Linked DNA regions of Mus musculus: all the other regions are reported to be linked to region 1. The links are microRNA targets in miRTarBase. Many come from high-throughput screens and were not tested one by one. Region 1 holds a microRNA gene; each other region holds the end of a gene's coding sequence.
Evidence for each region. Region 1 holds the annotated microRNA mmu-miR-741-3p (UGAGAGAUGCCAUUCUAUGUAGA, at 2,765-2,787, shown strand). A microRNA usually pairs through its seed, bases 2 to 8, with sites in the 3' UTR of a target mRNA and lowers its output. Matches are read on the target gene's strand: a 7mer-m8 pairs with bases 2 to 8, a 7mer-A1 pairs with bases 2 to 7 and ends in A, and an 8mer does both.

Region 1 (5,108 bases):
GAAAAATAACTTCAACGAGAAATTCTAACTTATATAAGTGAAATTACAGTCCCCCGTATTGTCTTGGTAGAGAATACCATTAATTGAAACAGAAGACACATCAGAGGATATTCTCTTGGAGGAATTTTTGGTGACAATTTGTAGATTGTGTGTGTGTGTGTACATATATGTATATATATTATACACAAAGTATGTCAAGTTTTAGCAACAATGTACAATTGGTACTTTGCTAAAAGATAAAGAGGATCATGGAAGCTACATTTGCAACATTTTTATATTAAAGGTATGATGTACCCTGCTTTACCTAATTTGTTGTCCATCATGTAAAACATAAATGATGATAGACACCATATAAGGTAGAGGAAGGTTCACTATGTTCATCACCTGGAACATCATTGTGGTATAGAAGCATTAACCCTTGTTAGAGCTTGCTGGCCTTAATTTGGCATTTGTATCTAAAGGACCAAAGTTTAGTAAGGTGCATTTATTCTTTTTTTTCCCATTTTTTATTAGGTATTTAGCTCATTTACATTTCCAATGCTATACCAAAAGTCCCCCATACCCACCCATCCCCACTCCCCTACCCACCCACTCCCCCTTTTTGGCCCTGGCGTTCCCCTGTACTGGGGCATATAAAGTTTGCAAGTCCAATGGGCCTCTCTTTCCAGTGATGGCTGACTAGGCCATCTTTTGATACATATGCAGCTAGAGTCAAGAGCTCCGGGGTACTGGTTAGTTCATAATGTTGTTCCACCTATAGGGTTGCAGATCCCTTTAGCTCCTTGGGTACTTTCTCTAGCTCCTCCATTGGGAGCCCTGTGATCCATCCATTAGCTGACTGTGAGCATCCACTTCTGTGTTTGCTAGGCCCTGGCATAGTCTCACAAGAGACAGCTACATCTGGGTCCTTTCAATAAAATCTTGCTAGTGTATGCAATGGTGTCAGCGTTTGGATGCTGATTATGGGGTGGATCCCTGGATATGGCAGTCTCTACATGGTCCATCCTTTCATCTCAGCTCCAAACTTTGTCTCTGTAACTCCTTCCATGGGTGTTTTGTTCCCAATTCTAAGGAGGGGCATAGTGTCCACACTTCAGTCTTCATTCTTCTTGAGTTTCATGTGTCATTCTTCTTGAGTTTCATGTGGCATTTATTCTTTAATGTTAACCTTGCAGACACATCAAGATTTATAAACATTCAGATACAACAATCATTACATGTTTTTAAATTACAGATTTAGTTCAGTATATTTTTAAATTATAATTTAATTATAATATTTATACCTCTTATTTTTCCCTCCAAACACTTTCATATTTCCCTCCCTGCTCTCCCTCAAATTGATGATGTTTGTCAATAATTGTTACTGAATGTATTGATGTATTTTTATATAGCTATTTATTCCTAAATATATTCTGCTAAGTCTGTATAGTGTTACTTGTTTGTATGTTTTCAGGATGAATGTTTTGCACTAGACAACCAAATGGAATGTTCTTCCATGAGTGCTGGGAGTTAGGAGACATCTCCCAATACTGGCTTTTCTAGTTGTGTATAGTTCTTTGTGTAGGATTGAGGAATCATGAGCTTTTCCTGGTTTAATCTCAATTTTGACAGCCATTCGTGCAAATAACTGCTCATAATAACTAGATGGAAATATGTGGGAAAGAATACTATAGAATTATTTCATAAGGACATATAAATACAATTAAGGTTTATATTTTATGCTGTAGGGTGAATTGATAAATTTTGAGTGATAATTAAGAGTTTTAAGCGGGACTTCACATTTTTGGTTTATTTTTAACCTTAAGTTAATCTAGTTTTATAGTATTTATAAGTAGAATATAATTTTCCAATTAACAGAAATAAATGTGTGTTTACCTCTAAGTGGAAGAAAACTTTACTCATTTATTGTGGCTTCGTGAATATGAAAATGGTATTCCAAAACTTAAAGTTTTGGGGCTTCTGGGATTTTAGATGGCCATTTGATCTTGTAGGAAATATTATTCTTTTATATGATAATATTTTACTATCATTTGGTTCACAAATAATTTTGAGACTATATGAATGGAGGGTATTAAGTTAGGAAATAAATAAAATAAATAAATAAGTAAATAAAAATTAGGTAATTTATGTACGCATGTCTTTCCCACCATGGTGTTAGAATATGATATAGGAAAAAAAAAAGAATATGATATAGGCTAGGTTGCAAGATTGACAAGGTAAAAGTATGTTTTACTATCCTTAGTATTTAGAAATAATAAATATATGTTTCATGCATAGTTGTAATGGTAACTGTTTCTCTGATTTTTGCTTTTTCTTTAACTTTCATTTTGATGAGTTTTGTGTTATTGCTAGTTCATTTTTTTTAAATCAAGGGAAAGATGTTTGGGGTTGATGAGTGAGGTGGTAGGGCAGATCTGAGAATAGGTGAAAGCATGATCAGAATATATTGTAAGGGAAAAACATTTTTAGTAAGTAAAACGTGCTGGATGTATTAATTTGAATAAAAAAACTGAATATTAGCTGTAGTGAAAACTATTTATAGAAATGGTGACATAAGATGATACTATGTGAAAGAAAATCATGATATAGTAGAATTGGTAGGTATTCTCTAAGATTTACTACTAAATGAGGTAAGAATGCAAGAATTGTGGAGTTATGATTTCTAATTGAAGGTGACAGACTAGCTTTCTATCAGAAGTATATAAAATGTCTCATGTGCATTGATCTACGTAGATTGGTACCTATCATGTAAATCATGTAAGCATGAGAGATGCCATTCTATGTAGATTAAGGCTCATAACATTCTTCTTTTTTTGTGGCCTTGGAAGATCATTGCAGTGTTAAGTATAATGCTTCCCGATCTTTGTTAAGATCTTGTGCCTTCAGAAACTATATCCTCTAAGGAGGACTTAATTTAAACCTTCAGAACACATTTAGATATGTTAATACAAATATGGACATTGATAATTTTATTCTTAATCTGAAAAAATAAAATGAATATAGTCTTATATTTGTTTTATCAGACTTTCAGATAAGCAAGAGGGCATGGCATCCAGGCATAATAAGAAGATTCTTTATAAGCTTCTTGTTTGCTGCTTTATGCTGTGATGCTGATGGTGACTTGATTTAAATGAGAACAGTTTCATTCTACATGTACTGTAAGTTTCATCCTGTATGTCGCATATAATGATGTTTATGTTCATTTTAGATGCTCTTTAGTGAACTTTGAGGTTTGCTGCTACTCGAATTCTCACAATAGACATTAAGAATATTAGCATTTGTATTTTCTCTTTTGAAATTTTAAGTTTTTGAATTAAAATATAATTCTGACTCACTTTCCTTCCCACCCTCCACTCTCCCATATGGCCCCCTTTCTCTCTCTCTCTCTCTCTCTCTCTCTCTCTCTCTCTCTCTCTCTCTGTGTGTGTGTGTGTGTGTGTGTGTGTGTGTACACGTGTGCACATAAATATGTGAGTATGTATATAATATGGTAGACTACTTGGTATTAAATAACTAATTTGCTGGCTTATCCCTGTGAAAAGCTACTTTTTCCACTCAGCATTGCTTAAGTGTTTGCAGATTAGTTTTACATGCATGCATACATACATACATACATACATACATACATACATACATACATACATACTGCATACATTTATTTATTTGTCTAGGGGTTATGGCTCAAGAAACCAAATGAGTTTGATCACCTCTAGGTAGTAATGGTATAATGACTAACTATTGCTCTCAGCTTGACTGATTTTTTGGAATCAGCTAATAGATGAGCCACAGGCAACAGGGTCAGATTATTTCAAATGAGAAGAGCCACCCTAAATAACAGACAGTGCCTCCAATAGCATCCTACCTAGATAAAAGTGATAGAATAGAAAAAGTTGTTGGTTTTATTTTTTTTTTTTTTACTTTGTGAGATTATTATATAATTATATCCTGTTCTTCCCTACAAACTTTCCATATTCCTTCTTGCTCTTTCCAAATTTACAGTGTCCTTTTTCATTAATTGTTACAAACTATTCCCTCTGCTATATGTAACCCCTCTGGCTAAAGAGGTTATAGTTTGGTTATCATTATTCACTGGCTAATATCCACGTAGAAGTAAATGCTTACCATATGTTTCTATCTGGGTCTTTTTAAAACTCTCATAGGATGATTATTTTTCTAGCTCCATCTATTTCCCAGCAAGTCTCATGATGTCATTCTTAACAGGTAATACGTCATTGTTTAAATGTACCACAGGCTTTTTATTCAGTTTGAGGGACACTTAAAAAATTGGATTGTTTTCAATTTTTGGCTATTATGAATAGATCGGCAATGAGCAGGGTTAAGCATTTGTCCTTGTGGTAGGATGAAGATCCTTTAGGTATATGCCCAAAAGAAGTATAGCTGGATCTTAAGATATATCAGTTCCCAACTTTCTGAGGAACCACCATATTTTCTATTTTTGATGTACAAGTTTGCAGTCCCATTAGCAATGGAGGAGTGTTTCCTTTGCCCCACATCTTCTCTATCACGTTGTCACATGTTGATATTTAGCCATTTTGACAGGTGTAAAATGGAATATCAAAGTAGTTTTTATTTGAATTTTCCTGATGGCTAAAGATTTTGCACATTTATTTATTTTGGTGTTTCTCATTCATTTGAGTTTCTGTTATTGTGAATTTTCTGTTTAGACCTATACCCTATTTTTAATTGGATTTTTATATGTAATTTTAAATTCCTTATATATCTTGCATATTAGTCTTCTGTCAGATAATGCAGTTTGTAAAAATCTTTTCTTATTCTCTAGGCTGCCACTGGGGTGGAGAGATGACTCAGAGGTTAAGAATTTGGCATCACTTCAGAGTTATAAAAAATACATGGATTTTCAGGTATTGTGCTGTGATAGATGATAGATGATGTGATAGATGTCACAGAAATTGCTAAGTAATGAAAAATGTATACATTTAAGATACTGAAAATAAAAATTTAAATGTACAAGTTTATTTTTTCTCCTTGTTTCTGTGTCTCTGAGTTAATGTAAGCCTCCCCCACTGCAGTTTGTAGATACAACTTTTTGGTGATGTCATTGTAGGTACATTACCCCTAAACTCAGG
Region 2 (5,108 bases), not on the chromosome of region 1:
TTTTAGCAGAAGCCAAATATTTTTGCTTATTGGCCTTTTTACTGGCAATTAGAAGTTGATGGGCATGTGTTATTATTAGACTCTGGGTAAAGCCCAGCTCCTATGATACATGATCCAGGATGGTGTTGTATGAGGTAAGGCAAGGCAATGGGAAGTAGCTAATGATTAACTAGGTACAAATATCGGGTTCAGCAAAGGTAATGATGCTTTTATGGTTGAGTGATCATGGAAAGTTTAAGTACAGTTTAGTAATCTGTCAATATAGCAGGGTATTAAAATGTATAGGTAAGGAGATGATAGTAAAAATATAGAATGCGGGAGATGGACTGGCAGTTAGTAAAATAGCATCTTGCTTGTGGAAATGGTAACTGGAAACTTCAGAGTAGCATCCTAGGCTGGAATTATGGCATCATAATTATACCTGTTAATGCAATCCAATCTCTTCTAAATGAGAACAATACAGAGAGGGGAACATGGAGAACAATGGTGAGTATTGCTAGGATACAGCCTTCCTCCCAATTTATACATCTGGCTGAATATTATTCCAATAAAATTGCAATAAAACCTCAAATTCTTTAGCAGAAGCTACAAGTGTGCTTTATTTCTGTCATATTGGCTCAGACAAGATTCACCCTCATTGACGGCAGATCTGAGTTCTTTTGGCATTGGTGGAACCTTTAGTAGGAAGGCAGGGTCCTCGTGAAATACTGCTTGAGAGGACTAGAATAGAAGAAGGTAATAAGAAAGGGGTTGATGAGCTTTGTGTGATGGGAGAATAGACACAACACCCGTGTCTTTTGCTAAGTTCAGTAAAGTGGCGAGGGTACACATAGAGCTATGTTACAGTCCATTCTCTTCCTGCCCCTTAATATATATTTTTCTCTCTTTTAAAATGTTTGTTCCCATAGATCTATCTCCCTCAACCAGCCCTTTGCCCCGACTCTGTGTATAAGCTGATGCTCAGCTGCTGGAGAAGAGAAACCAAGCACCGGCCATCCTTCCAGGAAATACACCTCCTGCTTCTTCAGCAAGGAGCCGAGTGATGATGCATCAGCACCTGGCAGTGTTCCTGTGGCCCAGATCCTTCCCACAAGACCTACTGCTCACCCACATCTAAGCCACTCCAGCTGGACATTCAATGGACCCGAGAGACAGAGAATTAGTCACTCTGCCCTCTCTGTCCCTTGCCTCCTCCACTACACCTCCCTGCTCCCTACTATTGACTCATATATACTTTTTTACATGAAATAACTAAAAGAAGAAAAAAAAATATAGAGCAGATATTAGTAAAAGAAATGTTACTTGATATACCAAATGGTTAGATAATGAAGACTAGAAACTCAGATAATTTATAAAGGTTATGCTTCTGTTTATAAGTGTGCAGATCCTACAATATTTTTCCGTGTCACTTTCTGTAAAATACCTTTAGAAAGAAAAACTTGAAGAATATGAATGTCTTGAGAAACATGAGATTAGGCTTAAGGAAAATACTTAGAGGTAATGAAGAATTGCAGGACTTGGCATTCCACAACAAATGGATGATTTTCTGATTTGGACGTGACTCTCAGATCTCTCTGTCTCTGTCTCTGTCTCTGTCTCTCTCCTCTCTCTCTCTCTCTCTCTCTCTCTCTCTCTCTCTCTCTCTCTCTCTCTCTCTCTCTCTCTCTCTCTCGTCAAAGTGAGTGGCATGTACTTAAAAACCTCTATCTTGTGTCTTGGAATGAATGTTTTCTTCAATCATGGCCAGAGATCAGAGCCTACCCATGAAACAGGGCATATGGATAGAAAGAAATGTCTGTTGTAAGGCTTGAAGTAGGACACAGAAAGGGAAAGATTGCACAAGCTTCCCGGTAGACCATGGTCATAGGAAAGAAGGTCCTCGGAGGATGACTCGCAAGTGTACTATTTGTTGTTCATCTGTGAGGGTCTTCACCTGTGTGTTCTAGTGACAACTTGACTTTACTCTGTAAAGCCTCAAGTTTTGATATTTTAATGGTTGCTCCATCAGTTCCTCTTGTCCAGTTCTATATCTTTCACTATGTGATGCCTTTGTGGGATTTATAGACTAGGGCTTCAACTTCTCAGGCACAAGTATCCAATGTCATGTCCAATATACAAGAGATATGTTTAGAGTGTTTCCAAAAGTTTGGCCAAGACCCCTGGAAAAAGTTATAGGAAGACTGATTTCCACTTTTGGGAAAATATGGAAATAGAACATATGCAGGTGGGGGTTTTCCCAGAGATGGGGAATCTCTCATCTCCGAAAAGTTTCAGATACTAGCTGAAGAACTCTGCAGGGAAGAGGTTGTTGACTACTGGGTATATATGTATGGGATAATAAAAGGATGACCATTTGGTGTTACTGAAAGTGCTTTTGCCAAAGAGAGGGTGGCCAGCGGCAAAGCATGAAGTTCTTTTCTGGCTTTGGGATTCACGAGAACTGATGCATGATCAAGCAGGAGTCACCTTAGTGACTAACTTAGTGACCCTAAGTTTTCATCCTTCACAGACTCTAAGATTCAGCAGCAATCTACACTACAAAACCCTTAAATCCTATAGAGGAAACCAAGCTGAGGTAAAATAGTGGTGATCTGCTTCTGTCTATCCAGTCAGCTTGCTCCATGGTCTCTTAGAAACCTGAGAGCTTCTTGGTTCAGCCTTCAGCATGGCTACAGGACACAGCAGATGTATAACTCTAAGTCTTGACATTAATTTCATAGATCCCATTCGCTCACAGCACATTTACCTCCTCTCCCATGGCTTTTCTACCATTCTCAGCAAGACTAACTTCGATCCCAGAGGTAGGAGAGAACATTGGATTGGGAACTCTGGCCCTGTGCTGCCTCAAGCCAAGTATGTCATTTTCCCAAGTCTTGCTTCTCTCTGAATTTGTTTTCTTATCTGTCTCAAAGGAAAACCGAATCTATGATTTAGGAATCTCTTGGAGTTTTGCTTTGTTTTGTGCTTGCTGGAGAACTAGATTTGTGGTTGATGTAGGTTCAGTTACTGCTCAGACAATTGTGGCCAGTAATAGTGATCCCGAGAGACATCATTTAAGTAAGAGCAACACCTGCATTATATCTGCTTTAGAGTGACCAGTGCTGCTTCACGTTATCTCATTTGATAGTTCTAGGGCCAGACATGTTTCTTTCACAACTCTTGACTATATACTCTTCAGGATTCTGCCCCCAGTTCACTGTATTCCTTTACAAATGAAATTTCCAGGACTTTGCTTTATGGAACTAATCTATCCCAGATGGCTATCAAATATGTATCTTCATGTACAGGCACTTTGTTTTTGGTATGAAGAAGGTTCCACCTTCTGGCACTGAAACCTTTGTATTACAGACACAGGTTTAGTTTCTAGTTACACTAGTAGAGTTTAGCAGTACAGGTCTGAGTAGCCAACCATGGTAGAAGGTAAAGACTTACTCTGTAGACAGGTAGCTCAAATCTAAACTAGGGAAATGAAGGTAGGTTTTGGAAAAGAAAGCAGAAACAGATGAGAAACTGTGGGATCTTGTTATTTCCCCAAGTAACTCGTGATCACGATATATGTGAACCATTTATGTCAAGATGTCCTTTAGACTATCATATTTCAATTTATACCTTTATTGATGAATGCATACATTAACCAGGTCCATTTATGTTTTTATTATTGGGGATCATACCCAGAACTCACATTTGCTAGGCATGGGTCCTGTCATTGATCTATGTTCAAATCTTGATCTGGTGACCAGATAAATGTGTAACCATGTCACATATGTGACCTGGAGTGGAAATGAGTGCCCAGAGGAGAGCATGCATTGTTGGAGCTGTGGAAAGATTGTCTGTGAACGCTCAAAACTGTAATACAAAAGAGGGCTGTATGCAAGTATGTGAGTAGTGTTTTTTTTTTTTAAGTTGTTACATGAATGTGTGTGTGTGGCTGGAAGGAGAGGATGGGTAGAAAATAAGAAAGAAGGCACAGTGAAAAGAGGCAAGGAGAGGTTCTGGGGAAGATATGGGGTGAGGCAAGTCAAACGTGGTAGAGACAGGGTTGGCTGGAGGCCATGAAGTCAACGCTGATGCATGCCAAGAGATCTGAGAGAGGTTAGAAAAAGTGACTTGGGAAGAATGGAGGGTAGGTAAAGGAGAAATGCTGGGTGAAGGAGCCTGTCTTTAGTAAATCGATGTCAGGTACACCGTAGGTAATGCAAGGGATTTTTGTAGAGTTGAAGAAGGACATGGTCTTCATGGATATAGAAACATGTGGCCACCAGAACCATTAGGGAGTCACCTATTCATCTCAGGAAGTGGGTACAGAAGGCATTTCGCTCTCCTGTGGGTTCTAGACCACATGTAGGGTTGGTGACAATGCTGTCTGCGCACTGGCCTTTGGTGTTCCATGTGCTGTTGGGGCATGAAGGTGTATGAGCGTTTGGTAGTTACCAAATACACTTTCAATAATGCTCATCCTTCCATGGTCTAAAATGGCCACAGCAAACATGGAAACAATAGGTGTAAGTTAGACAATACTAAGTTTCATCTGATCTTTGACAGAGGGGTGTGCCATATTGGAAACATGTTTTCCACACAGGCACCCCACAAGAACAGTGTGATGTGGGCGTAGACCATGTGTTTTAAGTAAAGAGGAAATCAGGGGGCGTGTCAGGATGAAGGGAATGTGGGAAGATGTTCCGAAGACATGCACTAGAAAACAGAACGGTGTCTGTTTTCGTCCAGTACTAAATGAAAAGAATTGCAATACATTGCTTATTGCAATTTTTATCCTAAGTTGAATCCATGAGCCTGGTGCTTGCAGCATAGTTTTTTTGTTTTGTTTTGAAGCCTATGTCCTTGGGCACTGTGTGGGGCAAGGCCCTGATGTTTTGGCAACATGCAGATTCTGGTCTCCTGGAAACCTTCATATTCTTTCATATTCTAGAAACAGATGAATGTCATTGGCACTTGGTGAATTAATTAGAATCCTGAGCTAAGAGGGAAGGAAGCTGGGTAGTGACGAAGGACTTGAGTAGGCTGGCAGGAAAGGACTGGGGAGGGACCATTTAGTTGTCCCGTGTTTTTCAGAAATTTCTCATTTTGCAATGATCTGAGACTTGAAAGAA
Region 3 (5,108 bases), not on the chromosome of region 1:
TGGAACTCACTTTGTAGACCAGGCTGGCCTCGAACTCAGAAATCCGCCAGCCTCTGCCTCCCGAGTACTGGGATTAAAGGTGTGCGCCACCACGCCCGGCCCATCTCCTGAGTTTTACCAGCTTCTAGGATTTGATGGCTTGTTTTGGGTCTAGTTTCTACAAATAAAAGATAGTTGAAGCTGGAGGAGGGGCAGCTACACACTTGTAACCTAAGCATTTAAGGATGTTGAAATAGGAGGAATACAAGCCCGGGCTATATAGTGGAGAGTCTCATCAACCACAATGAAAAAAAGCAGGTAGGTATTGTATTGTTAGTTCTTTTTCTTCTTTTTTTTTTTTTCATTTATTTATATGAATACACTGTAGCTGTCAGACACACCAGAAGTGGGCATCAGATCCCATTACAGATGGTTGTGAGTCACCATGTGGTTGCTGGAAATTGAACCCAGGACCTCTGGAAGTGCAGTCAGTGCTCTTAACCGCTGAGCCATCTTTCCAGCCCTGTTATTCTTTTTTTCTTTTAAATGTATTTATTATCATAAATAAGTAACTGTAGCTATCTTCAGATAGATCAGAAAAGGGTGTCAGTTCTCATTACTGATAGTTATGAGCCATCATGTGGTTGCTGGGATTTGAACTCAGGACCTTCAGAAGAGCAGTCAGTGCTCTTAATCGCTGAGCCATCTCTCCAGCCCCCTTGTTAGTTATTCTTAATTCATTATTTATTTTTATTCTATGTGTAGAAATTGTGCCCTTCCCCCAGCCTTGAGTGGGCTAGTTCAGACCTTTTTTGCAACAATCGGCTAGCCCACCTCAGGTAGAGTCTTCCAACCTAGGTGAAGTGTATTGTCCTACCATCTGCAGCTTCCTGCACGAAGTCACTACGTGTTGAGCAGCTGAGCTTGTCTTCCTGACAAGGTCCTGGCAAAGTGAGGAATGGCTTTTGCCCCCCTGTAAATTTCAGATCTTAGAATTAAACATTGAGCCTTGATCAGAGAACTTTGTCTTGGCTCGTTATTTCTCTCATCGCTCTTCCCATCCATCCCCAGCTTTCCTTTCAGGAACTCAGTAACCCATGGCCGCTGGCGGCTACAGGTGGCACCCAAATGAGGGATCTGATTATGGAAAGACCGACTGAGGGACATTCTTGGTGAAGCTCCACAGAAAATGAAGAAGATGGTATCCTACACGGTAAGCAACATACAGCATTAATGTTTATGCTATAAATTTCATCTTTTGAAGGCTGTTGATTTTAATGGTGCAAAAAGGATACAGGTTAAACTGAGTCAGCGTCAGCCCAATGCTGATATCAGCTAGAGGTTGACAGTGGAAAATGGGGCTGGAAAATTCTAAACAAACATTTGTCTGTAGTCAAGAACTGTATCCGATGAAAGGAGTAGGGCTTAAAATAAAATAAATAAGATAAAATAAAAAGAATAAAAAACAAAAACAACAAAAGGGAGATGCTAGATATACAAATGACATGAGAGAGATCAAGTGAAGGAAAATGGATTTCAGAGCTCTCCCAGGGACAGAAGGAAATCGGGAGACTTCTTGCTTCCTCTCTGGCCCCTACAGTAGGCATCCTTAGTTCTGGTTACATCAAGTTCCTTCCTTCTCTGCATTGTCTGTCCTTGGTGCACCAGTCTGACCATGTGTCAGTTTGTGTGTTTTTGTTTTGTCTGAATGACTGTCGTTCTATGTTTCATGTTGAAGAAAAACTGGTTAAAACTTTATCCAATGGATATCCATCTCTGATTCAGTCTCAGTTTGCACAGCAGAAGCTGTGCAACTTTTCATTAGTTAGATCACTGAAGAAAATGGCATCCAATCTCCCAGCAACCATTAACTGCCAGTAGCCCCTCCCTCACCCATGTTTAAATGACAGTGGACTCAGAATTGCGCCTGGCTTGCAGAGGTAACTACTGCTGCACGGGTGCAACAACCCAGCCACTCCCCACAGACTTTTTAAGGCACCCCTCCTTATCCTCTGGCTCTTCCCTTCTTTCCCAGTCTTCTCCCATATGTTCTGAGCCTGGCAGGTGTGATGCAGGTATCCAGTTTCAAGAGGCTCACTCCTGAACCTCTTGCTGCCATGCCTTTGTAAGTCAGGGTGTTTAGTTCTTACTCTCACATGAAATTACCGTGAGGCTTGTTATGAGAATACCAGGGTTTTCTCTCCTGATGATTTCCTGATTCATAACTACCAGTACTTGGCTCCCATTTTCTAAGGGAGTGAAAATAATCAACAATACCACTTTATTTTAAAGAACGGGAGGGGGAAATTACTTGAATTAGTAACAGAAAGGGAAGAGACTGATAAAAGAGTGAGAGGCGCCATCTACTGGATCAGTGGCTACTTCCAGCTTTGGGTGAGAAGGAGGTTTCATGTTTTTACCCTTTAAATCCTGCTCAAAGCACTCAAATCAACAGCAAGGTTACTTCACACTATCCTGAACTATTACAGGATATTCCAACCCCGAGTCCCTGGAAGACCATGAGAAAAGATTGATACAAAAATACCTAATTAAGACTAACAGCATTTACTGCTTAAGTGCTAAAAAATGGGTCTTAATCCTCTAGATTCAGCTTCAGGAAGACTCATTCCCTCTGTTGATTATGAACTTATCAGGGAAGAATTGTCAGCTGGTGATGCGCCACAGTCCTGGATGGTTATACATCAACAACTCTTTTAAGACGTAGCGCTGAAAGAATTGCAATGGATGGTTGTATGTTTGTTTGCTTATAGTCTATGTTTTATTATACACAAGAAATCTTCAAAATCCTGAGTGGCAGTGCATGTGTTTAATTCTACCATTTGGGATTTAAAAACAAAAACAAAAACTTCAAGGCAAGCTTGTACATGGCTGTCTATAACTCAAGCAATTGGAAAGCTTAAGAAAGTAGAAACTGAGTGTGAGGCCAGCTGGGATACTTAGTGATTCTGAGGCTATCCTGGCTACATAACAAGACCCTCTCAAGAAAAACAGAGAGAGAGAGCAGGAAAGATGGAGGAGGAGAGGAGTTACCCCAGATTCAAGGCTTACAAAAATGTCTGTGTGTGTTATTTTCTTTGTTTGACACAGGGTCTCAGTACACTCCCCTCTCCCACTCCACCCCCCCCCCCCGCCCCACATACACACAGAGGCAGCTTTAGCAATAGACAGACATTTTCCAATTATTTTGATGTGGCTAATGGCTGATAAAATGTGGTTTTGAAAATAAGAATGCGCTTCACATGAGAGAAGAGCTCATTTGGAGTGGAAAGACAGCCGTGATCACGCACAGTGCTTACCTGTGGAAGGCAAGGCATCATAACAGAGTCAGTGCTCTGGTGGTAACAGTCCTGACTCCAGGAAATCTGCCATTCTAAAACATGTTAGTTTTGTTAACTGCACTGCTTCCGTCTTTGTTATTTTGAGACATGAGTCTCACTATGTAGCCCTGGCAGAGGCCAGAAGAGGGGAAGGGTCCCCTAATGCTGGGGTGTCAGGTGGTTGTGAGCCACTCAAAGAGCAATGAGTGCTCTTAACCAGACCGTGTGTGTGTGTGTGTGTGTGTGTGTGTGTGTATGTGTGTGTGTGTGTGAGAGAGAGAGAAAGAGAGAGAGAGAGAGAGAGAGAGAGAGAGAGAGAGAGAGAACCAGAATCATTTTTGGATATTTTGTAATTGGGCTGTTAATTCTTTTGTTAAGATTTTATGTCCAGAATAAATAATAAACAACACAACAAAAAGAGTATATTCCACTGTGAGAAATTATATCACATGCACTAGGAGAGAGATGATCAGTAGAACAAACAGAAAAGAATAAGTGTTGGGTAGCTTGGGGGGCGTGGCACACTCCTTGAATCCCAGCACTCAGAAGGCAGATGCAGGTGGATCTTTGTGAGTTCAAGACCAGCTTGGTCTACAGAGCAAGATCCAGGACAGCCAGGGCTATACCAAAACCATGTCTCAGAAAACAAACATACAACAACAAAGAACAAAAGAAAAAAGAAAAAGACACAGATTGTCTGAGTCCATGCCTGTGGAATAAAGAATAAACTGTTTACCAGGAGTTGAGAGAGAGAAAAAGGGAAGAATGTGCTGTACAGTTTCCTGTAGGAATGAGAAATATGTTTTGAAATCTTGAGATAAGGTTGCTCTAGTTTGTGAATATAGTAAATGCCAACAGTGTTTATCTTAAAGCGGTTAATTTTATGCTATGTGAATTTTATCTCAATTAAAAAAAAAAAAAAAAAAAAAAAGCAAGGCATGGTGTTTCATACCTGTATTCCCGCTCTGGAGGCAATGTAGGAGGATTCAGGGTTCAAGATCTGCCTGAGCTAGAGAAACTCAGAAATACTAAGGGGCTTGGAGGTCAGTTGTAGAGCACTTGCCTTCTAATGGATCTAGATTCTATCCTAAGCACTGGGGGGAAGAGGGAAGGGATCGTAAGAAACCAGTAAAAATGGACATACAAGGTGTTAGAAAAAAATGATCTATGTACAGATCTGAAAGCCCCAACAAGCCAGAAGGAAGGAGGTAGCAGCAGGTACAAGCAAGGTTCCTTACTGTGAAACCTTGCTCTTCTCCAAACCTGAGTATCAACCAATGGGAGCAGTCCCTGTCTCAAGGCCCATCCTTGCTCCAATCCAAGAAGCCATTTTTCCAATGGTCACATTCCTCAGTCTTCTTGCCAGTCATCCCGTGCCCAGGCTGGGATGGGTGAGACGTACTCAAAGTCTGGCCCTTTATAGCGGAGGGCATGCAGGAACATTACGAGATCCTGGGGCAAGGGATCCTGTCGCAACACTCGGCACTCGGCACAGAGCGGGTCTGTTTCTTGAGTCACATCTGCTTTAGCTGCCTTCTCTGGTGTGTCCAGATGCTGAGGGGCTGCCTCAGCTATTCCATCTATCTTCTGGGCTGCTGTAGCCAACCCTTCCAGGCTGTCTTTAGCCAACTCTGAAGAGGGAGCTGTCGAGTCTATGAGCCCTGGCGTCAGGTCACTCTCACAGAGATCTAGCATACTCAGGCTTTCTTTGGCCTGATGTTCTGCAACCAGGTCTCGGAGCAGTTCCTCGTCTGTCTTTGGAATGTGGCCACCCTGGCCTCGAGAAGGACC
Region 4 (5,108 bases), not on the chromosome of region 1:
CCTGATAAACCTTCTTCCAGAGGCAGCATCTAGTCAGGTTCAGCACACTGACAATGGCAGCTACACACATCTTTTAGGGTAAAACACAGACATTCTGTTGTCTATGTTATTCCTTGGCTTTAAGTTATTCAATCTGTGCAGTTGCATACCAGTATTGTTTCTCTTATAAATTTTGATTCCATATATGTATGTATTGTGTGTGTGTGTGCGTATGTGTGTGTGTGTGCATGCACATGTGTGCCTTATGGTGCAAATGTGGAAGTAGAAGGTAACTTTAAAGCAGTTGGTTCTCCCCTTCCACCGTATGGTCCTCATGCCAGCTCCCAGGATGGGCTTTCATCTCTCTTTCTGCATCTTAGACTTGATTCCTCATAAAATCTCACTTCTACTCAAAGAGCAATAGTGAAGTTTGCTTTCGGTGAGGTGTTCCATTTCATTTGATCTTCTTTACATATATTTTCAATGGGCATAAAGTTCTAAACTGAAAAGGATTTTTTCCCCCACATCACAGATGTCGCATGCTGTCTCTGGGCTTTTAGGTGACATGTTTCATCTATAATACTTTTAAATATTCTCCTTATTCTTTTTTCCTCTTATTGAAAATAAATTTTTCTTACATAATATATTGATTAGTTTCCCTTCCCTTTATACTCCTCCCAGTTTCTCCTGATCTTCCCATCCAGATCCACCTCCTTTCTATTTTTCATTATAAAGCAAACAGGTCTCTAAAGAATTGTAATATATGATATGATATAACAAAAACTAATATTGGGATAGGATGAAACAAGCAAACAAAAAGAAGAGACCCCAAGAGAAGGCACAAGAAACAAACAGTCAGAAAGCCACTTATCCACACACTCAGGAATCCCACAAAACCACGACACTGACAGTCATCATACATATATGACTTTATTATATGCATATAACATATTGTTCAAGCATGAGGACCTGAGCTTAGATCTGTACTCGCCAATAAAATTCAGGCATGGCAGTGAAGTCTGTAATCCCAGTGATGCGGGTGGAGGATTGGCAGAATCAGGCAGATCTCTAGGCTAGGCCAGCCAGGCTACCCAAAACAGCAAGTTCCAGCTGCAGTGAGAAATTCTGTGTGTGTGTGTGTGTGTGTGTGTGTGTGTGTGAAAGCAGAGAGGAGGGCATCTGACAGTGATCTCTGTACTCCACATGAGCATACATAGGTAGATGCATTGCACACACATACATAGAGATGAACAGTAAGAAAATGATAAATAAATAAATAAATAAATAAATATGTTCAAGAACAATGTAAGATATCCACATGCAAAAGGATGGGTTAGACATTGTCTCAGTTAGGGTTTTACTTTTGTGAACAGATACCATGACCAAGGCAACTCTTACAAGGACAACATTTAATTATGGCTTGCTTACAGGTTCCGAGTTCCAGTCCATTATCATCAAGGTGGGAACATGGCTGCATCCAGGCAGGCATGGTGCAGGAGGACCGAAGAATTCTACATCTTCATCTGAAGACTGCCAGAATATTGGCTTCCAGATGAAGCTCTTAAAGCTCATGCCCACAGTGACACATCTACTCCAACAAGGCCACACCTCCAAATAGTGCCACTCCCTGGGCCAAGCATAGATAAACCATCACAGACATTTATTACAAATTACATTCAAGAAAAGGAACACAGTTGAATTATACATTTAAGTGCAAACCATGAAAACACAAAACATCAAAAACAAATCTCACGACCTCTAGTAAATGGTTCATGTGACATAAAATGAAAAGCATACGCATCAATAGAAAAACAAATAACAAACTGGACTTGACCAAACTTCTGTGCCCCCAAAGGATATCCTCAAAGGTGGAAAAAGACAGCTCACAGATGAGAGAAAACACGCTCAAATCTTCCGTCTGATCAGGCACTTCCATGAAGAATACAAACCTCCTAGGAGTGGATGGTACTTGTGTTATCTGTTTAACAGACACTCGTCCACTGATGTCACACGAAGAGCTAGTCAGCACATAATAGGGTGCTTGGTCTAGACCCTGCTAAGAGGAACATGGAACCACGACCAGGTCCTACTTTACACTACAGGCTTGCCTAGAAGGAACCTTTGCAGTTTCAACCACACACATCATCTCTCTGGTCCTATCATACGGCAACCTTGCTCTCTCTCCATGGGCTGTGACTGCTTTCCCTCTTCTGAGATGCTTTTCTGCATATATTTATGGTGGTTTTTTTCCTTGTCATTCAGACTTCAGGGCAAGTCTTCCCAAAAGCTTCCTCTGGACTATCCCATGTGAAGCAGCTCCTAGCAACGGCATCGCCTATTTATTACCTTCACCTCACTCCATCGTTTAATTCAACCCCTGGGCATATGTGAATGGTTCTTTTATGTGGACACCTTTGGGAATCCAGAAATGACTAACCACACGAGTCCTGCTCTCCTATAGCCTCTAAGCTAGAGTAAGGCGTTCAAAGGAAGTACTTGGTAGGCTTTAAATTAATGGAGGAAAGATGGACCAATGGAACGAGAAGCATCAGGAGAAGGAAGGGGCCGTTTCCTAGTGTCTGCTTGCAGACACTGCCGAGCCAGCTAGAGAGCTGAATGCGAGAGGGCATGGCTAGGAAACAGAGGTGGGCTTGTCAAGAGAAGCGGAGAGTCAAGGCTTGGAGCATAACTGTGGCGAACAAAAAAAAAGGAACGAGAAAGGCGCTGAGTAAGTGGTTATTGCAGGTGGACTTGAGTTTGATGTGTCAGTGGAGCAGCCAATCGGAACTGTCGATGGAAACTGGGGCTGTTCAAGCGGCACGTACTCAGGAGCCTGTCACAGAAAGGTGCAAGACGTGCTTAGAAGAGAAAATCAGGTGGACAAAGGTCTAAGAGACAAAATACTAGCCAAGTTTTATGGTGTTCAACAAAACATGTTTTTTTTTTTTTTTTTTTTTTTTTTTTTTTTTTTTAAGATTCACTGTTTTATGTATATGAGTGCTCTATCGGCATGTATGCCCGCATGCCAGAAGAGGCCATCAGATTCCAGTATATATTGTTGTGAGATGCCATGTGTTTGCTGGGAATTGAAGTCAGGACCTCTGGAAGAGCAGTCAGTGCTCCTAACCACTGAGCCTTCTCCCCAGCCCCACACATCCTGATGATGTAATAGAACATCCCTTTCTGACACCTTCCCTTGCATGCTGGGTGGACAAAGTACATGCCAAGCGTCACCAGCATTCCCAGGTGTAGAGCTAGCCCATCACTCGGGTGTCCTACCACCACTGCCTCCAGGACCGTCCTGCAGCATCTTTTTAAACGCTGCCCTCAACATCTGTCCTTTATTTTTACTGTTTTTTGGAAGGCAAACAGGCTAGCAGCATTGCTACAGTGAGGACTGTTTGGAGAGCACTCTTCCCGTTGTTCCCTCGATGTTGCAGGCGTCTGTGCTCTGGCGACATCCACCACAGCGTCTCCATGTTAAGTGGCACTAGTTTCCTTAAGCTCCGGGATGCTGAGCAATGTTTTGTCATCATGTTCTTCCCTCATCAAAAATAAAAGAACAGCTCCTATTAAGACTACAACTGTTAAGCTGTGTAGACATGAAAACAGAGGCCGTGTTTCTTTTCTTATTTGGTAAATATTTAGCTTTTGAGGCATCAGTAACTAATCACAGCTGCTTCCTTTAGCTACAAATGGATTCAATCAGGTAGAATTTGAGATGAAACTCAGAAGCCACCAGTCATTCCATTATGCTGCAGTGACAGCGGCAGGACTCGTGGAATGTACGTTAAATATGCATGTATTCATCAAATCAGACAAAGAAGCTAATGGGTCTCTGATTAGTGTTCTCACTCTATTATGGTGATGCATCCATCCTTCCACCACACCCTGCCACAGCTACAGCAGGCGGAAGCAGCCAGGGAGACTAATAGTCTGTCATGCCGTCGCTCTGTCTGAGGAATGCACACTGGCTTTCTGGCTAGAATTTCTCTCTTGAAAAACTGAAGGTGAAAAAGAACTGTGATGCTGGAAGACTCTTTAATATTAATAATTTCTAATTCTTTGTATCAAAACTAAAGAGAGCCCCTTTTATCTCTATTAAGGCTTTTACTTTATTATTTTTGGGACCAATATTGTTTTTAAAGGTACTCTAGAGTGAAAGTAACAATGATCAGTTCAACAAAGACAAACAGCTGATATAATTTTATTCAGTACTAAGAATTACAGATTTTGTGACAACATATAAATAAATTTCTATTACAAAAAATTGATACTCTGAATTAAGAGCATATAACAAAATATTTTTTGATTCACAAGCTGAAAGGCATGTGCTTTGTTTAGGGGTCAATTTTGATTCATAATTTACATTTATAGTGATGACTGCTATAATCAGGTATAGAGGCATTTAGTCATTTCTAAGTTCCATCTGTAAAATATGCTCTTAGGCACAGTACTCTGGATGCTGGAGCACGGTTATTAGTGTGAAGCCAACCTGGGCTACATAGAATCTGCTTCAAATACAGACAGACACACAGGCACAGAGAGATAGATAGACCACACACACACACACACACACACACACACACACACACACACACACACACACACACATTTCTAGAGAGTGTAATTAATCAACCTGTACGCCTTGATAGATTGATTGTAGGCAAGCTACCAAGGTCAGAGTGGTGTCTATAACACAGCTTTGCCTCCACAGTTGCCCAGCTTCAATCGCTAAAGGCTGAGTTTGGAAAGTAACCTTGAGGTGGTAATTAACAATTGTACCAATTAGTATCAAAAATTAACAACTTTGGGTACTTTGGTTTTAGGTTTCTGCAGTTTGGGCACATCCAGCACGTCTTCATAGTCTGCACTCATACCCTTTGCCCAGCGACCAACCGTGATGATCCGATCTGCAGAGGGATTTAAAAAAAAAAATCAAGATATAAAAACAACAGTAATCAAATGCTTCCACTGAGAGTGGTATTGGTTTAGTAAAGGAACTAGTTTTGACATGAATAATCACAAGGAGAGATGACTCCATCACTGCAGGAAAGTGAGCAATTCTGTAATTGATTAGAACCCTTGATTTCCGAGTACCACAGGCAATTTCTCATCCCAATTAGGGA
Region 5 (5,108 bases), not on the chromosome of region 1:
CCACAACCAAAGTCACTCACAGCGGAGTCAAGCAACAGTTCACAAGGCAGAGACAGTAGACTAACTAGTCTGGGGACAACTAGTTTCTTTTCCTCTTCTTCTTCTTCTTTGTTTAACAACACTATGTGTGAGTTGCCAATTGAATGTTCTCTGTTCAACTGACTTTTGGATATAACTTGTTTCTGAGTATTGTGAAATTTATGTGAATTTCTTTGTGTTCAGAATGAGACATTTGATGTTCAAAAGCCCCAGGATTAGGGGACAGCTCAGTGTAAATGTAATGTGTAACAAGGTATTGAACAGTTTTCCAAAAGCATTCGGGTGGCCAATTATACATATTGATATATACATATTTGAAATTTCTTTTTGTTTCTGTTAACCATTGTGAAACACCAACAGTTACTGTAACAGTTACTGCCTGGGAGTGTGGCCAACCGCCCCTTGCCACTTTGATACTGGCCTGGGATTGGCTCCCTAAGTCACCTGTTGAGGAGCAGAAATACAAAGTCAACTTTAAGTTTTCTAATATTTTTCTTTGATAAAACTTAGGCGATTTGACGACCATTTGGCATTCCCAAGAGATAACAGGTGAAGGTGATCAGGCAGCTTGGACTCCCTCACCTGCAGGGACTCTTTAGAGAAACGGTGTTGCTTTCGGTCTCATGCCCTCCACCACGGTCCTGGCACACCACAGCCGAGCTTCTGGGATAACCACGAGGAGGCAGCATAGAACATCCCATCACCATGGCCGAGGTATGGCTGGTGGCAGGCTAACCCTAGACAATGCTGCTCTTCTTGTTATTATTAGGTACTGGAACATGTGCCTTTATCATTGGGACGGCCACCCATGCACTTCCAATCCCAGAGCTCAGAGCTGACCCTCTGCCCTCTGACTTAGACAACTATGTGGGTGATGAGGTTTTTGTTTTTTTGTTTGTTTGTTTGTTTTCATTTTTTTCATTTGTCACTAGTCTCCAAAGCATGGAACTGGCGGCGATGTCATTAGACATTTTCTATAAAATGCACCTTGTTATCTTTCTGTGACCGGCTCTTTCCCAGCACACAGAATAACCACGGCTCAAAGATTGAGAGGAGTAACCATTTTTAAATAGTTAATTGTTTCAGTGACTGTAAGTGTTAAGTCTGTTGTTGGCAATAAAGGCTACTGTGAAAAGAAGTGTCTCTTGTTTGCGTGACAGAGCTCACGTCTGTGTGTGGTGGCAGGGCGCCATCATGCATGCGTAGAAGTCACAGGACAACTTGTAGGGCTTCTCTCCTTCTGTCATGTGGGCCCTGGGAATCGAACTCAGGACATCAAGTGTCACCAAGGCAAGCAACATTGCCTTCTGAGCCACTCGCCAGCCCTGGGTCTTATAACGCATCGCAGAAGACAGGAGGGCAGATTGAAACCTTTCTCTAGAAAATTGGTCTTCTGTTTTTCCCTCAGGGGTGGGAAAAGGGATAACTTGTCAGAAACACTTGAAAAGATTCATGCCAATTTTGCGATCTGGAGCATAGACTGCCTTGGGCAGGTCAGAGGTGATAGACGGCGGGAAGGTGGAACTGGGGGTGGGGGTGAGGTGTCTTTTTCACTACAAGTTATAACATCTGTCGTCAACAAAGCATCACACCAAATATGGATCCTCCGTGTGTGGGATGCAGGTTAGTGGCTAAAACTTACCGACTATAAAACAGGGAGCCAGTTCTGCCGGCTGCTTACCCGCTTGCTCATCTGCAGACACTGGCAAATGAAACCTAGTCTTCTGGTTGGATGACATTTTTATTTTATAATTTCTTCCCTACAGAGGGGCTATTACCATTCTTCAAATCATAGGATCTGCTGGGAAATGGCTCCCCTGGGATGCCCTGTGCCTACGTAAATGCCACAGAGGGCAGTTTGTGCCTATAACCATGACAGGAGGAACACAGGTCCTGGGGGGAATTGTTGGTCAGTCAATCTAGCCAAAGCTGGCAGCTTCGGGTTCAGTGAGAAATGGTGTCTCAAAAAAACAAACAACAAAACAACAACAACAACAACAAAACAACAACAAAAAAACCAAGATGGAGAGCATAGAGAGAGAGAGAGAGATCCAACATTAACCTCTGGCCTCTCCTGCATGCACAATAGTGTACATGGGTGGGCACACACATACACACACTCACCACCGCTACCACCACCACCACCACCACCACCAGTAAAACAGCATCTACCCAGACCTGTATCAGTAGCATCCAGTACGCTAAAGCTTCAATCTAACATCATCTACAAGATGGCCCTGGGGGATAAAAGGGACTTAGTGATTGGGCATCAAATGTAGTTTATGCCTGTAATGCTGTGAGATCAGGTTCTAGGGAGAGAAGCAAGACCACCCCACTACACCCCCCGAGTGTCTATTCCAAAACAATAGAACATACCACACAGGCCTCCAGGATGGGTTTTTATACAGGCTTTTGGTTTTATTTATTATTAACAAACATAAACTGCAAGTAGCCAAGGTTGCTCACTACCTTGGGCGAGCCCCAGGGTCTCTGGTGTCACTGGTTTCCGACCTTTGACCTTCAGGGTGAGGGTTGGATGCACCCGATGTCTCAGTGCTGTCTCGGAGGCTAGCTAGGGAAAGGTGTGCACACTGGCATCACGGTCGACGGATCCACTGGGCATACATCAAGTGAGCGCAATTGGGTTTTAGTGTATTTTTATTTTCAGTTGCTTGGCAGTCTGTCATGCTACAAATGTCACCTCCTAGCTGGGGATGGTGGGCCTGGCCCTCCACAAGGGCTGTTGTGTGAAAGCAGACACAGGAGGAAATGGAGAAGCCAGAATCCTGTACAATGTGTGATTAATATCAGTGACCTAGACCCACGGCCTCAAAGCCTTGCAATCATGAAAGAGCGTGCCCACAAGCCCTGTTCTCTTTCCACCTCAACTCCCCTACACACTGCTCTGCTATTTATTTTTCCCTTAACCCAGCACTTGTATGCTTTCCTTTTCCAGAAATGCCATGGGTTTTGTCAACACGGTGACATTTTCTTGGTGACATAGAGAAGGGCAAGGCCAATGATGGAGCAGAACTTCTTGGCAGTGACCTATATACACCAGGAGTGACATGAGGGGAAGTCTTTAGTTAGTCAGACCAGGGTTACCTAAGGCCCAGAAAAATGTCCCTAAACAAGAGCAAATGCCATCAGGTAACCACCAAGAGGGAAAAAAAAATCAGTTTTAAAAAGGCCCATGAGTGTGTAAAGGCTGCTCTTCCAGGGTTCATAAGGCAACAGTCTCTGAGACTAATCAACTTATGGGGAGCCTTGACATGACGTTTCCTCAAATGAGAGTCTTTCCGAAGGCTGTTCTGGGAGCATGGATGCTGGCCACTCTCCAACGCACCCACCTTTCATCTGTGTGCCCTGTGGGCGGAATCCTTGGGGAGGGGATGTTCAGAGGTGTCTTCTACGCATTTTCTTTACAGGATGGACAAATGAACGCAGGTCCAAGCGGAGGAGAGTGGCTGGAGTGTCCATCATATGGGAATTGGAATGGTTCTCTCTAAAGAGCACACAAATAACTACATCACGCCTCCCAGCCTGGCGGAATCCTCTCACTGAATAGTCCTGGACAGGGTCCATAACTGAGGGAGTTGAGAAGCTTTGCTGACAGCTCCAGCTCCTTGCCAGCAAAGGGTGACAGCAAAGGGGACAAGCAGCCTCAAGCTTCTCTCTATAGACTTGAACTCAGGACCATACAGATGAAGGGCTGGCTTGTGAACGTCACTGCTGGAAACTCTCTACATGCAGCAGACAGACTGCAGTCCCCTAGAAAGATTGCCCACAGTGGAGAGCACCTTGCCTCTCCTTAGGAGTTCTTCCTTTAGTGGTGCCTGCATTCCGAGAGATCCCGGCTGGCTTTTCTGTGGCTTTCAGAAATGCCTCAATGATCGCATAATTTGGCTCTTAGGTGTACCTAAGCTTACGCAAGGGACCCAAGAGGGAGGAGGGGTGCAGGAATGTAAGGGTAAGACCCACACACCTGGGCTGCTCTTGGGTGAGGCTTTTGAGAATACAGAATACTTTAGTAACTTTTCACAGCTATGAGTTAGAACACCAGTGCAAGGGCACTGGGAAGGGGACATGACCTTATCACATGCTGAACCTGGGACAGCAGTGTGGGCAGGTTTGGACCAATGATGTGTGGAAGACTGACACTTTGTAATGGGTTCCACCTGGGAAAATCAATCGTATACATCCTGTACAACACAGCAACGAACACACACACACACACACACACACATGAGCACCCATTCTATGGAAAATAAATGTAGTGTGAACGCAGGGAGACATCATCCCAATGTGCATGTGCATAGCACATCACCACCTGCCTTCCCTGGACCAGGGGTAGCGGCATCCGAAGGCAGTGCACCGTGTCAGCAGCTTGGTACATTCAGAAGGATGGAGCCCGCAACAGATAAGTCACATCCAAGTCCAGGCTGAAATGCGTTGGTGACTCCTTGGGTCTCCTCCTCAGGAGATACCACACAGTCTGGCCACAGCAAGCAGACCTCCAGAGTTAAGATCTCTTAAGGCCCCACGTGGAAGTGATGCATGCAATAAATAGGTGTGGCTGCAGAGCTTGCCCTGTTGAGACCGTCACTTGCAGAGGACCCCGTTCTGAAACGACCTGTTTTTGTCAATGATGCAGGAAGAAGTAGCCACGCGGGGCAGGTCTTCCTTGACCTTCGGAGAGTGGCTGCTGTTGTTACTGGAGCTTGACTTACTTCTGCTTGGGTCGAGGGCAGGCTGCATGGGTGAGGCCTGGGTCCCCTTGCCCTTGACTAGACAGCCGCACACCAACCGGAAGAAGGCGCGCCTCATCTCTTTGCTGGCCAGCGTGTAGATGACAGGGTTCATGGCCGAGTTGAGGACAGCCAGCATGATGAACCACTGACTCTTGAAGAGGATGGAGCACTCCTTTGCCCTGCAGGCCACGTCGATGAGGAAGAGGATAAAAAGTGGGGACCAACAGGCAATGAACACACTCACCACAATCACTACGGTCCGCAGAAGGGCCATGGATCTCTCAGAGTTGTGGTTGGCCACCCTGCGGCTGCTGGACT

Region 2: the mRNA of Ddr2 is a reported target of mmu-miR-741-3p. Seed matches in the 3' UTR shown: 7mer-m8 at 1,569-1,575 and 8mer at 2,250-2,257.
Region 3: miRTarBase lists Rpusd2 as a target of mmu-miR-741-3p. Seed matches in the 3' UTR shown: 7mer-A1 at 4,061-4,067, 7mer-m8 at 3,778-3,784, 7mer-A1 at 3,588-3,594, 7mer-A1 at 3,241-3,247, 7mer-m8 at 1,489-1,495 and 7mer-A1 at 1,486-1,492.
Region 4: miRTarBase lists Zcchc9 as a target of mmu-miR-741-3p. Seed matches in the 3' UTR shown: 7mer-m8 at 4,523-4,529.
Region 5: miRTarBase lists S1pr3 as a target of mmu-miR-741-3p. Seed matches in the 3' UTR shown: 7mer-m8 at 3,885-3,891 and 7mer-m8 at 2,084-2,090.

Annotation. Positions count from the first base shown.
Region 1 is chrX:66,794,488-66,799,595 of GRCm38, reverse strand. Mir741 (microRNA 741) reads left to right here and starts at 2,721; the gene lies at 2,721-2,791. It overlaps Mir463 (microRNA 463), which reads left to right and starts at 299; the gene lies at 299-373.
Region 2 is chr1:169,973,790-169,978,897 of GRCm38, reverse strand. It overlaps Ddr2 (discoidin domain receptor family, member 2), which reads left to right. Exons shown (of 17, transcript NM_022563.2): 17 at 909-5,108. The coding sequence ends at 1,043. Among named protein-coding and RNA genes, the nearest start is that of 3110045C21Rik, 6.9 kb to the right of the region's middle.
Region 3 is chr2:119,038,319-119,043,426 of GRCm38, reverse strand. Rpusd2 (RNA pseudouridylate synthase domain containing 2) reads right to left here. Exons shown (of 3, transcript NM_173450.3): 3 at 1,229-5,108. The coding sequence ends at 4,668. Among named protein-coding and RNA genes, the nearest start is that of n-TSgct7, 6.0 kb to the left of the region's middle.
Region 4 is chr13:91,792,363-91,797,470 of GRCm38, forward strand. It overlaps Zcchc9 (zinc finger, CCHC domain containing 9), which reads right to left. Exons shown (of 6, transcript NM_145453.2): 6 at 4,171-4,892. The coding sequence ends at 4,774. Among named protein-coding and RNA genes, the nearest start is that of Zcchc9, 13 kb to the right of the region's middle.
Region 5 is chr13:51,419,455-51,424,562 of GRCm38, reverse strand. S1pr3 (sphingosine-1-phosphate receptor 3) reads right to left here. Exons shown (of 2, transcript NM_010101.4): 2 at 1,766-5,108. The coding sequence ends at 4,642. Shc3 (src homology 2 domain-containing transforming protein C3) reads left to right here. Exons shown (of 12, transcript NM_009167.5): 12 at 1-1,174. Among named protein-coding and RNA genes, the nearest start is that of Gm32834, 3.3 kb to the right of the region's middle.